Linked DNA regions of Arabidopsis thaliana. The protein of the gene in region 1 interacts with the protein of each later gene in a pairwise test. Each region holds a gene or a part of one and is shown on either strand. Other genes may lie near its edges.

Evidence for each region.
Region 2: the proteins of LCL1 (region 1) and AT5G64170 interact in a protein complementation assay, tested with the Arabidopsis thaliana proteins (one study listed by BioGRID).

The regions. Positions count from the first base shown.
Region 1 is NC_003076.8:646,694-652,544, forward strand, and holds LCL1 (LHY/CCA1-like 1), read left to right. Parts: upstream 1-1,954; 5' UTR 1,955-2,100; coding exon 2,101-2,294; intron 2,295-2,910; coding exon 2,911-2,968; intron 2,969-3,061; coding exon 3,062-3,185; intron 3,186-3,268; coding exon 3,269-3,427; intron 3,428-3,536; coding exon 3,537-3,662; intron 3,663-3,740; coding exon 3,741-3,850; coding exon of another isoform or gene 3,851-3,877; exon of another isoform or gene 3,878-3,992; coding exon of another isoform or gene 3,993-4,088; exon of another isoform or gene 4,089-4,162; intron 4,163-4,167; coding exon 4,168-4,227; intron 4,228-4,468; coding exon 4,469-4,519; 3' UTR 4,520-4,593; exon of another isoform or gene 4,594-4,912; 3' UTR 4,913-5,286; downstream 5,287-5,851. Other genes in the region: AT5G02830 (Tetratricopeptide repeat (TPR)-like superfamily protein), read right to left, coding at 1-88, 177-341, 452-559, 665-869, 986-1,073, 1,149-1,728; AT5G02850 (hydroxyproline-rich glycoprotein family protein), read left to right, coding at 5,466-5,851.
Region 2 is NC_003076.8:25,671,922-25,678,684, forward strand, and holds AT5G64170 (dentin sialophosphoprotein-like protein), read right to left. Parts: upstream 4,903-6,763; 5' UTR 4,631-4,902; intron 4,120-4,630; 5' UTR 4,014-4,119; coding exon 3,990-4,013; intron 3,651-3,989; coding exon 3,118-3,650; intron 3,004-3,117; coding exon 2,694-3,003; intron 2,428-2,693; coding exon 1,816-2,427; intron 1,656-1,815; coding exon 1,522-1,655; intron 1,302-1,521; coding exon 1,166-1,301; intron 1,085-1,165; coding exon 983-1,084; 3' UTR 890-982; exon of another isoform or gene 798-889; 3' UTR 545-797; downstream 1-544. Other genes in the region: AT5G64160 (plant/protein), read left to right, coding at 1-97, 184-397; AT5G64180 (tropomyosin), read left to right, coding at 5,242-5,418, 5,861-6,017, 6,141-6,283. UniProt on the Arabidopsis thaliana protein: Transcriptional coactivator necessary for expression of the clock genes PRR5 and TOC1. Antagonizes REV8 function in the regulation of anthocyanin accumulation. Involved in red light input to the clock. Activates clock-controlled genes with afternoon peak.

The DNA.
Region 1 (5,851 bases):
ATGTATGAGTATTTGGGGTTACACCAACAGATTTCATATCATCTTTGACTTTGAGTGCCCATTTCCACATCTTTGCATCTGCAAAAACCTGATCTTAAGACATTATTCAGAGACTTAGGGATATAAAAGCAAAAACTAATGATAAACTTAGTTTTCCAAAAATACTGATATTGTACCTTTATAATAGTACAATATGTAAAGGCGTCCAACTTCAACAATCCGGAAGATTCCATTCGTTTTGCTTCTTTGTATATATCCTGGGCAAGATCAACCCGTCCAGCCAGGCAACATGTTTTCAGTAGTATGTTGTAGGATGTCATGTCAGCTGTAACATCAAGTATCTGCCCATGACATGTAGAGTTTCAAGGTCAGTCCACACCCACTCCTAAATCTAAAATACTCTCTAGACAATTCAAATACTTGTATTCAAGAGACAGAAGAAAGAACATACCTGCATATTCTTGTATACTTTTAGTGTGTACCCAAGATCATGGGAATTAACATTCATTAGACTGTTAATAACATAAATATTTGGCTTAATGTTTTCTTTGAGAAGATCCTGCCACAAAATTATGAATTAACTACAAATCTCAAATGCAGGATGGCAGACAAAATCGAGCGTAAAGGATACTTACGCAAAAATACAGTATAATTAGGGAATTACCTCATATATGTACCTCGATTTAACGTAATCACCACACAGGCCACAAACATCTATCATCGTTCGGCATATATACATGTTAGGAGTATCCAAAATCTGTTTGCAGGCTTCATATGCTGTCATAACAGAGACCATATCTCCTTTCTTTCCGAAACCATGAATAATTCTACAAAGCAATAACTCTGTATGCGGCAAAAGACATGCGTATCTGCATTCAATAATCATCAAATCGTTAGCAGAACACACTACATCCAGCATTCTTGTAATAACTTTCTGAATTTGAAAACCATTAACCTGAATCGTTATGTGGGAAACAAGGCTTACCTAATAGCTAATTGAGGATTGGAAATTTCAACACAACTCTTTACAACATCAAAAGGATCCACCAACTCTTTGATTTTGAATCCGAGACCTGAAATAAGAAGCAGGTAATCAATTCAAGAGTTCATAGTCACAGTGTAACAGCAAGAATTGATATAGTATTTACCGGCAAGTATCTCCATTAGATCAATAGCTTTCTCCACTTGCACAGAGTTAGCCATTGCTCGAAACTGTTTCCTCATTAATTTCACAGACGAATCATCGACAAGGTCCAATGGAGCAATTCCTACCTTCTCAATTCTCTTCAAAGTGTAAACGACGCTCTCAATCTTACCTTGTCGAAGATTCGACGAAATCCCTTTCGATAAGAGATCATAATCAACCATGGAAGCGAAACGAGCCACATTAGCTCCGGACTCTGCAGCCAAAGTCTCGGCGATGAGAGCGACGTCCTCAATTCGACCATCCTCAGCTAGCTTCGAGGCAAAATCAGCGTAATACTCAAGCGAGCCATCTGGAATCCATCTTACGACATTGGAGAAGTGGCTAGAGAGAGAATGAGTCGCGGAGACTGAAGCAGGAGAAGGTGAATGTTGCTGCGGTAGTGACGGAAGTAGCTTGGTGAAAGAAGAATTGGATTTAGTTTTCCGGTTGGACTCTGGTGCTGTGGCGTAACAGCGACGGTGGTGATGGTGAGGATTGGTTATGGCGGAGGAGGAGCCAAAGACAATAACAAAGTCTCTCATTCCTCGCCAACGGTTAGGATCATCATCGTATCATCATTGTGGCTCAGTTTTTCTGGTTTTCTAATTTCATGTAAATCAAATGGATTGGATTTGAAAGGCTATTTTTACAACTTCCACACCGGACCGGATTTGTAGTGTTAAAATACACCGGTATATATAAACCGATTTGGTACTTTGATTTTAAATTTTAAGAAATAAAATAAGAAAAAGGAGAAAAATGGATGGCCTGAAATTGCAAGCGAAGCGTCTCCACATATTATACACCAACTTCTTGCCCGCCATGTGGATATCGTCGTCATTTCTCTCTCTAACCCCTTCTCTCTTCAGTCTCTCTCTCTCTAGACGATCTCTATCTTGAATAAAATACCGATAATGACCTCAACCAATCCGGTGGTCGCCGAAGTAATACCGGCGGAAACTTCTACAGATGCTACAGAGACGACGATTGCAACGACGGAAGCTGGTGAAGCACCGGAGAAGAAGGTGAGGAAAGCTTACACAATCACCAAGTCTAGAGAGAGTTGGACTGAAGGAGAACACGACAAGTTTCTGGAAGCTCTTCAATTGTAATTTTACCGCGCTCTTTTTTTCTTCCACCAGCTATTTGATTGACTGATTCTTTGTGTTTCGAGCTCTAATTTATAGCTGAATTTTGCGTAATTTCGCGTAATTTCTACTTAATTTGCTTAATCAGATCGAAGTTTGGTTATGTGGTAGATCATCTGGAGTTTTGCGTATGCAATTGGATTTTGCAGAAGCAACAATGTCTTCTTTGATTTGTTAGGTTGGATTGTATATTCGATAGATCAGAATTTATATTAATCGCTGATGAATGTTTCTTCTCATAAAACCGAAGTATGGTTTAAGCTTATCTTAGGTTGCCAAAATGATTGAGTAGAGGACTTGGCATCTGGTTTCTGCATAAATAGTGGTATTTTGCAGAAGTCGTATCTTTCTTTATTAAAAATGTTTAACATGAGAACTGAAAAAACTTACTACAAGTCAGCTTTTAGAGCTATGCATGAAACCAATTTCCAACTACAGTCCTAAACTACAATTCAGATTTTGGTAATGGTTCGTTACTTCCACATATTACATTGCTCTTTTGTGTGTGTGAAAGGCTTCTCTCTCTTTTAGAAAAAAGAATCTTACTTTGTCCTGACAATTTTCTCGTGTCCTTAGGTTTGATCGTGACTGGAAAAAGATAGAAGATTTTGTTGGTTCAAAGACAGTTATTCAGGTTTGAGATCAGCTTCTTTGGATTTTTGGTTTAATATACAACCTTGGCACATTTCCCCACTCAATCATCCTGTGCCTGTTTGATTTACTGCAGATCAGGAGCCATGCCCAAAAATACTTTCTAAAGGTCCAAAAAAATGGGACTTTAGCACATGTTCCACCCCCTAGGCCTAAGCGCAAAGCTGCTCATCCATATCCTCAAAAGGCATCGAAAAATGGTTAGTTCTATTGTAATAGATATTACTTTGGGTTGACAGATGGAGTAACATGTAATCAATCTGATTTCAACTCAAATCTGCAGCTCAAATGTCGCTTCACGTTTCCATGTCCTTTCCTACTCAAATAAATAACCTGCCTGGATATACTCCATGGGATGATGATACATCTGCATTGTTAAACATTGCTGTAAGTGGGGTTATTCCACCAGAAGATGAACTTGATACTCTTTGTGGAGCAGAAGGCATGCGTTCTCATCTGTACTCAGTTTTTATATTTTGCTTTGGTAGTCTAGTCACTCTATCTTCTGAAGTTTTCATATGCTAAATGCGGCTTACATATCATTGTTTCAGTTGATGTTGGATCAAATGACATGATAAGTGAAACTAGTCCTTCAGCATCTGGTATCGGAAGCTCAAGCAGAACACTATCAGATTCTAAGGGTTTGAGACTGGCGAAACAAGCTCCCTCAATGCATGGTAATTATCTGAACAATTGAGGGACTATTTCTTAGTTTTCATTTTGTGGTGGACGCTGTTGTAATGGTTGCTTTGCAGGTCTTCCTGATTTTGCTGAGGTTTATAACTTCATTGGGAGTGTGTTCGATCCTGACAGCAAAGGCCGCATGAAAAAGCTCAAGGAAATGGATCCTATAAATTTCGAAACTGTGAGTTGGAGCTTTACTTGCCTTTAGATTAACTGATATGTGTGTTGCAGCATATCAATCATTTAGTCTTCTTCTTTGAGTTCCCGAATAAATTCAGCTGTGTGAGAAGATAAATATAAAGATCAGTACTTGCAATATATAGATTCACGAGTTGGAAACACCAAAAAGCCAAAGTACCATGATTCTATGGAGATGTTGGTCAAATAATGGGATTGTTACAACCATGAGTCAGTTTTAGGTGTCATGGTACCTATTTGTAGCTGTCAGTGATTGTTCTTTTTCCTAGTATCCGTCACTAATCACAGTTTTTCTTGCAGGTTTTGCTGTTGATGAGAAACCTCACAGTGAACTTGTCAAACCCTGACTTTGAACCTACTGTAAGTTATAATTTTATCATTACTTCTGTGCTCGTTGAGTATGTGAGGCACATTTGTCTTTTCGTGATAAGAATGAGTGAGAAAAAGTCTCTAACAGCTAACAAACCTACTTACTATCTGCCTTGAAGTTTAACTATAGAAATTAAGACTAGTTCGCCTTTAGTGTGTTATGTTTTTAACCGTTCCAATGATTAAATGAGGATTGTTGTGCTCTATGAGATATAATCTAACCATAATTTAGTCTGAATATGTTGATGCTGCAGAGGAAGGTCATGAACACTTAAGCTCTTAGCTGTTTGTGCACTCAACAAGTTATATATCTTCTTGACGACTTCTTGCTCGCAACAACTCTCTACCAGCTATCAAGTAAGTTTGGTGTTATACCGCATCCCTCCGACACCAATATAAAACACTATAATAAGAACGTTCGCATTGACTTAATAGATTATATCGAAACCTAACACCACAGTTCACTAAGGTTTTCACCTTAATGTTTCTCATTTGTTACTGTAGTTATTGTCTCACATGATCGAACGTCATAATAAGAATGATCTGTAGATCATAACTGTTATATTCTCAGCGTTGCTGCTATTATTCTGATTACACTACCCTTAAGGTCTTAAGAATATTGCTCTTACGGTCTACCAAATTGCTATTGATCTCTGTATATGGTGGATTGTGTCAGATGCATTCTACGGTTGTTGTCTGAGGAGAACATAACTGAGTCGTCGTCACAAACAAGAGGAACATATGCAGTTTCGGTCAGAACCAGTCGTGTGAATGGTAGATATATGTATGTGTGTGTAGAAAATGGTTACCAATTGTATCTTCTTTTTGATAATTATTTTTTCATGCCTTTTGTAATATGTAAGTTTCTTTACCTCGTTCTCTGATTGGTTATTTTCTGGTTATCTGTTTAACCAAAAGCTATGTAACACAGTAGCAAATTGTTACTTAACTCGGAAGTGAGATACATAACTCTGTTGTATTGCACTTGTATCAAGCGTTAACGTCCATGATTCGTCTCTGTTATTGTCAATAACAATTGTTCGAAAGCCAGGTTAATGGTAATTAGGAAATTGAACCGTATCGGTATGGTTTTAGCGGGTCTTTAGACTTTTCTAATTGATACTGAGGGTTTGCGAATTTTGTATAAACAGTTGAACACTAAACAGAGAAGAGAAGCTTCGTCTCTTTAATTATCTTCGATTTAAGAGATTCTTTCGCCGTCGGCGAAGATGCTACAGCATCAGATCGTACAATCTCCGGCGAGATTAGGGTTAACAGGTCCTGGCTCTCCTTCCGTACAAAATCCGACGCCTACTCGTCATGGCCATCCAACCTCTTCTTCATCTTCCCAATCTCAGCACCAACAGATCCAACAACAGCCTAATCTACTTCCTTCCTCCACCGTCGCCGCCGCTTCCTCAGCCTCAGCTTCGGCGGCTGTTTCATCCTCCGCCTTGCTATCGCTCCTTCCTCCATTACCGCGAGCTCAAGCTCTTCTCCAGCAGATGGCGGTTTTGACATCTAAGCTCTTCGACGTCTCTCCCAATCGAGCTATCTGGCTCTCAGCTTTCCGTGGCTCTCTCCCTTCGTTCCTCTCCTCACACTCGTTACCACC
Region 2 (6,763 bases), about 25 Mb from region 1:
GAAACGATATTGATGCACCCCCATCTTCAGAGAGTGGTGAAAAGCGGATATCTACTGCAACCAATCCTAATGCAGAAGAATCTGCAGATCTCTTGAGGTATGAATAACCCTTGCCCTCTTCTTCATTCTTTAGTATAAATTTGCACAATGTGAGCTTGATTAGGATTTCTATGATGAGTTTAGGATGTGTGTGCAATGCGGTGTACCGAAAACATATACAAGCGCAAGAGGAATGGTATGCCCGATTTGTGGTGACCGGCCATTACCGGACGTAGACGCGAAGAAGAAAGGCTCTACGATCAAAGATAAAGAGAAGAGCAAAAGAATGAGAGGACAATCTTCTCACGCTTCTTGGAAAAGTGAAACCGAGATGCAGCTTAGGCAAACTTTCGATTAGTGTTTCTTTTACCTTTTACTACATTTGTACCATCCAAATCCAATTTCTGTAACGTAGCTTGTGACACAAAGGTTAATCTTATAATTTGCTTCGGAATGTCTAATTTCATCATTATTGAAATATATATATTTATGAGATCATCAAATATTTATTGGAAAATAAAACCCTAAAATTCGCTATTTTGAAAAAAAGAGAGTAAATACACAGCAGAATATTTTATCGCATTACAAAACGAACTAACATCTTTATCTACAGAATTGCTATGTCTCTACTTCTTCCTCTACTTAACAACTTGAACAGATTACAAAGGTAAAGAACATATCTTAAAGACCTGGTTCGAGCAACCAGGTGTACAATCAGGTTCGAGCAACCAGGTGTACAATCAGGTTCGAACCGAAATCTAGACCAGAAAGTTATCTCAACACATAAATACAACTGTGTTACAAAATCCATGATTCTAATGAAGAAGCAGTCAGGATTTTAGTAACTAACCTGAGCAATTTCGCTTAGCCAAAATCGAGATTAGTGTTAACAACAATATCTCGAATGCTTCAGCAATGAAAGAGCCAGTTTTATTTGACATCATTAATTGTTGTCACTTGTTACAACTTCTGCTTCGGGTCTAAGTTCTGTAGTTTCCTCTTGTTTCTCTATCCTCAGGCTCGGACTACTATTGGGCTGAGGAATCTGTGTAGATAGTGATGGGTAAAATGAGGCACTGTGTTTTGCACATTAAATGGCGGTGTAAGAATCGAAGGTTTAACTTACCATTGGATGAGATTTATAAGACAGAACATTGTTATCGGATGAAAGAGATGAGTCTGAGGGCCTGTGAAACAGCAAATGAGCTATCGATCGATCTATCGGGTTTGTATCAGTTTCGATATCCATGAATCCAGCATACCTGGATGAGACCACATACAGATATCAAAGATTAGAATCTAAGAGAAATGAAGGACGAGTACAAGAGCCCAAGTGGAAGTTTCTAAAGAAGAGAGTTACTAAATCTGTCAAGACTCGAGTCTAATCCTATATAAAGTTATAAGTTGGCATCAAGAACTTTACTTAGCAACAGGTGATAAAGGGTGAACATATTGAATAATTATGTAGGATGTGGTGCTTACTTGTCTGCTTCACCAGTCACGAGATGCGAGCCTGCGCCTTTCTCCGGTCTGTTTCCACCATGATGTCTCTGTTCCGCACTTTTTGCTAATCGGTATAAGCTGTCTCTTATGCAAAGCTTTGTCCTAACATCCAACTGGAGCAAGCAAGTGTATTATCAACCAAGTAAGCAAATGTATATGTAAATTTATTAACATATATACACTTTGATATCAATCACAAAGGAACAGCAAACTTTTACCGATTCCCAGGAAGCCTTTTCCTTATATCAACAATTATCTATTGACAAGTTGTACCTGTTCTATAACTTGTTGAAGCTGGCGAAAACTTGTTGCTTCCAGTGAAATGTCATCCACAACAGAGCTAACACAAGAACTTCCCTGCATATTTGATGTTTCCAATTCAGTTGCAGCTTTTCTGTGGTCATTCTCAAGCCCAATCTTCTGGATAGGAGCAGCATCAGGAAACACCATGGAGTCTGTCTTACTACTCTTCTTGGTATTTGCAGCAAAAGAAGGAGGCATATCTTGCCCAGGCAGCAAGTTGGCTCTCGTTTCAAAGACCTTCCTAAACCGATCATCAACAGTTGGACCTTGTAAGCTCTCGATTGATTGTGCATGATTTGATGTGTATGACTCATTTGAAGCAGAGGAAGGACTGGGTTTGTTCTCAGATTTAATACCAGATTTACTTTCACATGCTGATACTTGAACGGAAGGCTGCTCACAATTGAAATGCGAGTATGGCACATCTCGCTGTTGGAATGCGGAGGGAGGGTAATACTGGTTGGTATCCATTATTTCCCTTGAAATACCACTGTGCTGTAAAGTAAAACTGTTCTCCGAGAACCCATCACTTTTCCCATCCAGATGATGAAGATGATCAGTCTGCTTCTTCTCAAGATTTGCCTGTATAACAAAAATTTGTACTGATATGAAATTGCTGGAATAGTGTCAAGATTTCAACAGTACAAATACTTATCTAATAGAATATCCACTTGCCCTTAACGAAACCATAAACCACCATTGTAAAAAGCGTCATATCATAGTTAGAGGATTTAACTGAGGAAAACGTGCAACTAAATAAGTCATCATAGAAGGTAACATCCCATGTAGTTAATGGTTGCATGTGCCTTGGAAGGCGCAAACAATTCTGAAATAAGAAATTGACTAACCTCTACATCCAGCATCAATATATCCTTCTTTTGCAAACTTGTATCGAATACATTTTGTGATGATTTTCCTTGAGCTGAATCGTCCTCAATAGTATATCCATACTCATCTTCAACAGCATGGTTGGGCTCACTGTTGTTCAAAAAGTCTTCAACCTGCAACATAGCGGTTCTTTGATTTTCCAACATTTTGTCTGGTTTGAGATCATCTGTCATCGCGCCTGCTGTCTCCTCATTTGGCTGGGCAGAAGAGAACCACCCTAAGTCACCTTCATTATTAAGACTATCCAAGCCGAATGTTGAATCACAACTCCTGTGCGTCCAATAAACGAGTGTAGGCTCAGACAAATGTTACCATGTTTCTCCCATAAGCAATGATCCCCAATGTGATAAGAATATATAGAAAAGAGAATATCTAAAATGTTACCTAAGCATGTTGTCCACATCCTCAAAATTTCCTATGTCACCCCAGCCATAGAAGAGATCATTTTTTTCTTTATCTCCATTGTCGAAAAAGCTAAGATCATTTTCAGCATCCGGAATGCTGTTGAGGGAATAATTATATACGCCATCATTCGTTGCAGCGGAAGTGTCACACAACATGGGATCCCCAGTGGAGAAATTTTCAACCACATCTACGTGGCCACCATTGAAACCATGATCTGAAGTATTTGTATCCTCCAATGTCATATCCTGAACATCTTTTCCTGTTCCCGTATCACGAGAAACCGAAGAGCCACCACTATCTTTCTCAGGCCATGGATTTTTTCCTAACATGTTTGCCTCTCTCTTGATAAAAGTATTACTCTTTAGATGGTTTGTTCCACTACCCATATCATCATTTCTTCGTTTCTTCCTGTTACTAACTAGAATTGGAAACTGACCTCCATCCTCATACGCTGAGTCTGGCACTATACCATCATCGTTCCCATGAAATTCATCCGAAAGATAATCGCCTAGCTGAAAGGAAAAGAAAGGAAAGAAAACTTCAGCCACCAATTAGAAATCCACATTACCAAGTCAAAGAAAAAAATGACTAGGGAAACATCAAACCGAGTAGACTAACAAAGTATCCCCAATCCTGCACAGAACACATCCAAGTGGTAGCGATAACAAGAAGTAAAATATGAGATGCAAGAACTGTCCTATATTTTAAACGATTTTGAACCCAATAAAAAAAGGAAATTTCACAACAGTTCATTTTCCGGGAACATACGACAAGAGCAACAACGAAAGATCTAAATCCATAGTCTCATAGAAAAAAGATACACACACATATATGATTGTGACTCCACTCACCTCATGAATGTACAAGTCCGACATTCCTCCCAACTTCAGACTCTTTAATCACCACTAAAATCATGCACATTACCCCGATATGTCATCTCTATTGCAAAACATGTAACTCCCACAAACACTATTTCTGGTTCTGGATAGGAAATATAAATATATTAAACAGCTTCCAATAATAGAGAAATCGAACCCAGCATATAAGAAAACTTGACTTTTCTTATCCAGAATCAAATCCCATGAAACCCGAAATACATGTAATCCAAACCCTAAGAGTTAACCCATTCTTTCAACTATTCATGAATTCCAGAAATTAGACTCAAATTCTACAGCCAAAAAGTCAAATCTCATAGCAAGTAGCACAAAAACAAAGTAGGAGAAAAATCAGATAGTAGGATTCAACCATTTTATGCTCGTAATTTCTAGCAAAATCGAGTTAAACTATCATTATTAAACCGAGAGTTTACAAAAACAACTAAAATCCAGTGAAATGAGGCATTCAATGAAACTAACTGCAACAAAAAAAAAAACAATCAAATCTGAGAAATCCTCAGCTACCGCTGCTATGGAAACACTGAGGATAAGAACCAAATTTTCTAATTAAATTCAATCGAAATAGATTCCATCAAAGCCGAACGAAATAAGCTCACCTGTGAGACAGATTCTTCCACTAGCAACTCCAGAAAACTCCACAGATAAAATTGTTTACCAGAAAACAAAAAACTCAGCAGATAGAAGAGATTGTATCAATTCATCGAAGCTAGATCGAAAAAAAAAACTGTGTAGGACTTTCTAGAGATGTTCGGCAGAAGACGATGAAGGCTTCCTATTTTTTTTTTTTTGACAAACATTTTAAATTTTAATTAAACTATTGTTTTTGTTTCGGGAGAATCAAAAGACAAGTGACCATGATATCAACACGTGGCAACTAAATCAAAAGGTTTAACAGGCTTGGGTTTTTAATATCAGAATTCGTGGACGAGAGAGCAGTGTGAGATCCTATCAGTTCCAGTTTTATTATTGGTACACGTCATTAGTACCTTCTCGAAACTGGGCACGCCTCATCTTCTTATTGGCTTACATCGTAATGATGACATCAGCCTTTATTTACGTATAACAAATTACCATGCGGTTAAAAAAAACAATAGTTATATGGGCCGAAGAAAGCCCAAAGAATCTTTAGTTGTTTTTCCGATCGATCTGCGAGTCGAGTAGTTTTTTTATTTGCCGGCGCCGGGAGAGATCCTTTGATCTTTTTCCGATGGAGGAGCAATTCGGCGGGAGCGATGAGAGATGGAAAGGATCATTGGAGAATATAACGGAGATGGCATCGAATCTCGATTCGCTTCAGAAACTTCTCCTCAAGAAAGCAGTCTTCGTTGAAGAAGACACTTTCTCTAGAGCTTCTCTCGTCTCCGAGCAAGCCCGAACAATCAAGGTTAATCCTTTTTCCTGTGATAAAATTTGAAATTATAGAGCTTAATTGTCTGAATTTTGAGCTTCTTTTCTTTGACTTTGATGATTGCTTCTGTGATTTGTGGATTCGATCTAGTTGATCACGATCGCACTTTTTAGTTTGCTTTAGTACTACTATAGCTCAGTGTAATAGTGTGATTCTGGAATTGCATTTGACGGTGAATTTGGGAACTTGTAGTTGATCATAAATTTTGAATCTTCGATTTTGTGATCTGTTAATGGTACAAATGATCACCAAATCCTTGAAGACTGGACTTGAGGTTTCACTATGAAAACTCCCAAGTGCAATTATGTGTATTAAGTAGAAATTCTTCATGTTGTAAGTAAAAAAGGACTGTGTTACATGTTTGAGATAAGGGATAGTTTCAGATTGTCTCTTAACTCTGTTCAATGGTTTGTTTTAGGTTCTTGAGCAAAGAGTACAAACACTAGAAAGAGAACTAGATGCTGCCATTACAGCTGCTGCTCATGCTCGGTCTGAGAAACGCCAAGCTGAGTCCTCTCAAAAGGCTGCTGAATCACGTGCCCAAGATGTCACAAAAGAGCTTGAAAACACCACAAGTATGCACTTGATAATCACTTCTTGAGTTGATGCCTGGTGGCACCATTCTCTCCCGCACGTTTATCTGCGTTCCAGTTTCATATTCACTCTCACTCACTGACTTATACAACTCTTGGTTTCAGAGGTTTTCAAGCTGCATATGGAAGAGCTTCGAGGAATGCAAGAACAGATATCCAAACGCGATAACGAGATCAAACTCTTAGAAGCTATAATCCAAACGCTCGGCGGCAAAGAGCGGTTGGGAAAAAGCGACGTGAATGGATGATGATGATGCGTTTTTTCACTTGTAAAGGTTTGTACTCCTGAGTTTGTGGAGATGTATCACTTCGAAGATAAATGTATTTTTGTCTGTCTATTTGGTACGTTTTAGAATCTTGCCTGTTCTTTCAAGAAATGAATGTTACATGGGCCTGACCCTATAAATGGGCCTAATGTGAATCGATCGATACTAAAAATGGGTTTTATAGGTGTGTGTGTGTGGTTTTCACACGTTTGCCGCCGATAGTGCTGCGATGCCATCCAGATTCAGTAACGCGGCATCTCCAGGACTCCAGCCGTGTGGAGCAAGAAACTACGTAAATTTGACAGCTGAAGATGCAATTTCACAAAAAGAGAATAAAAGAAACAAAAGAGGATTATGACCAATTTAGAAAAAACTTTTTTCAAAAAAGTGATGCTTCATGGTTTTTAGCGTGTGGGGTGTCTCTCTATATTATCTAATTTTTTGGTAGAAACTAGTGTACAA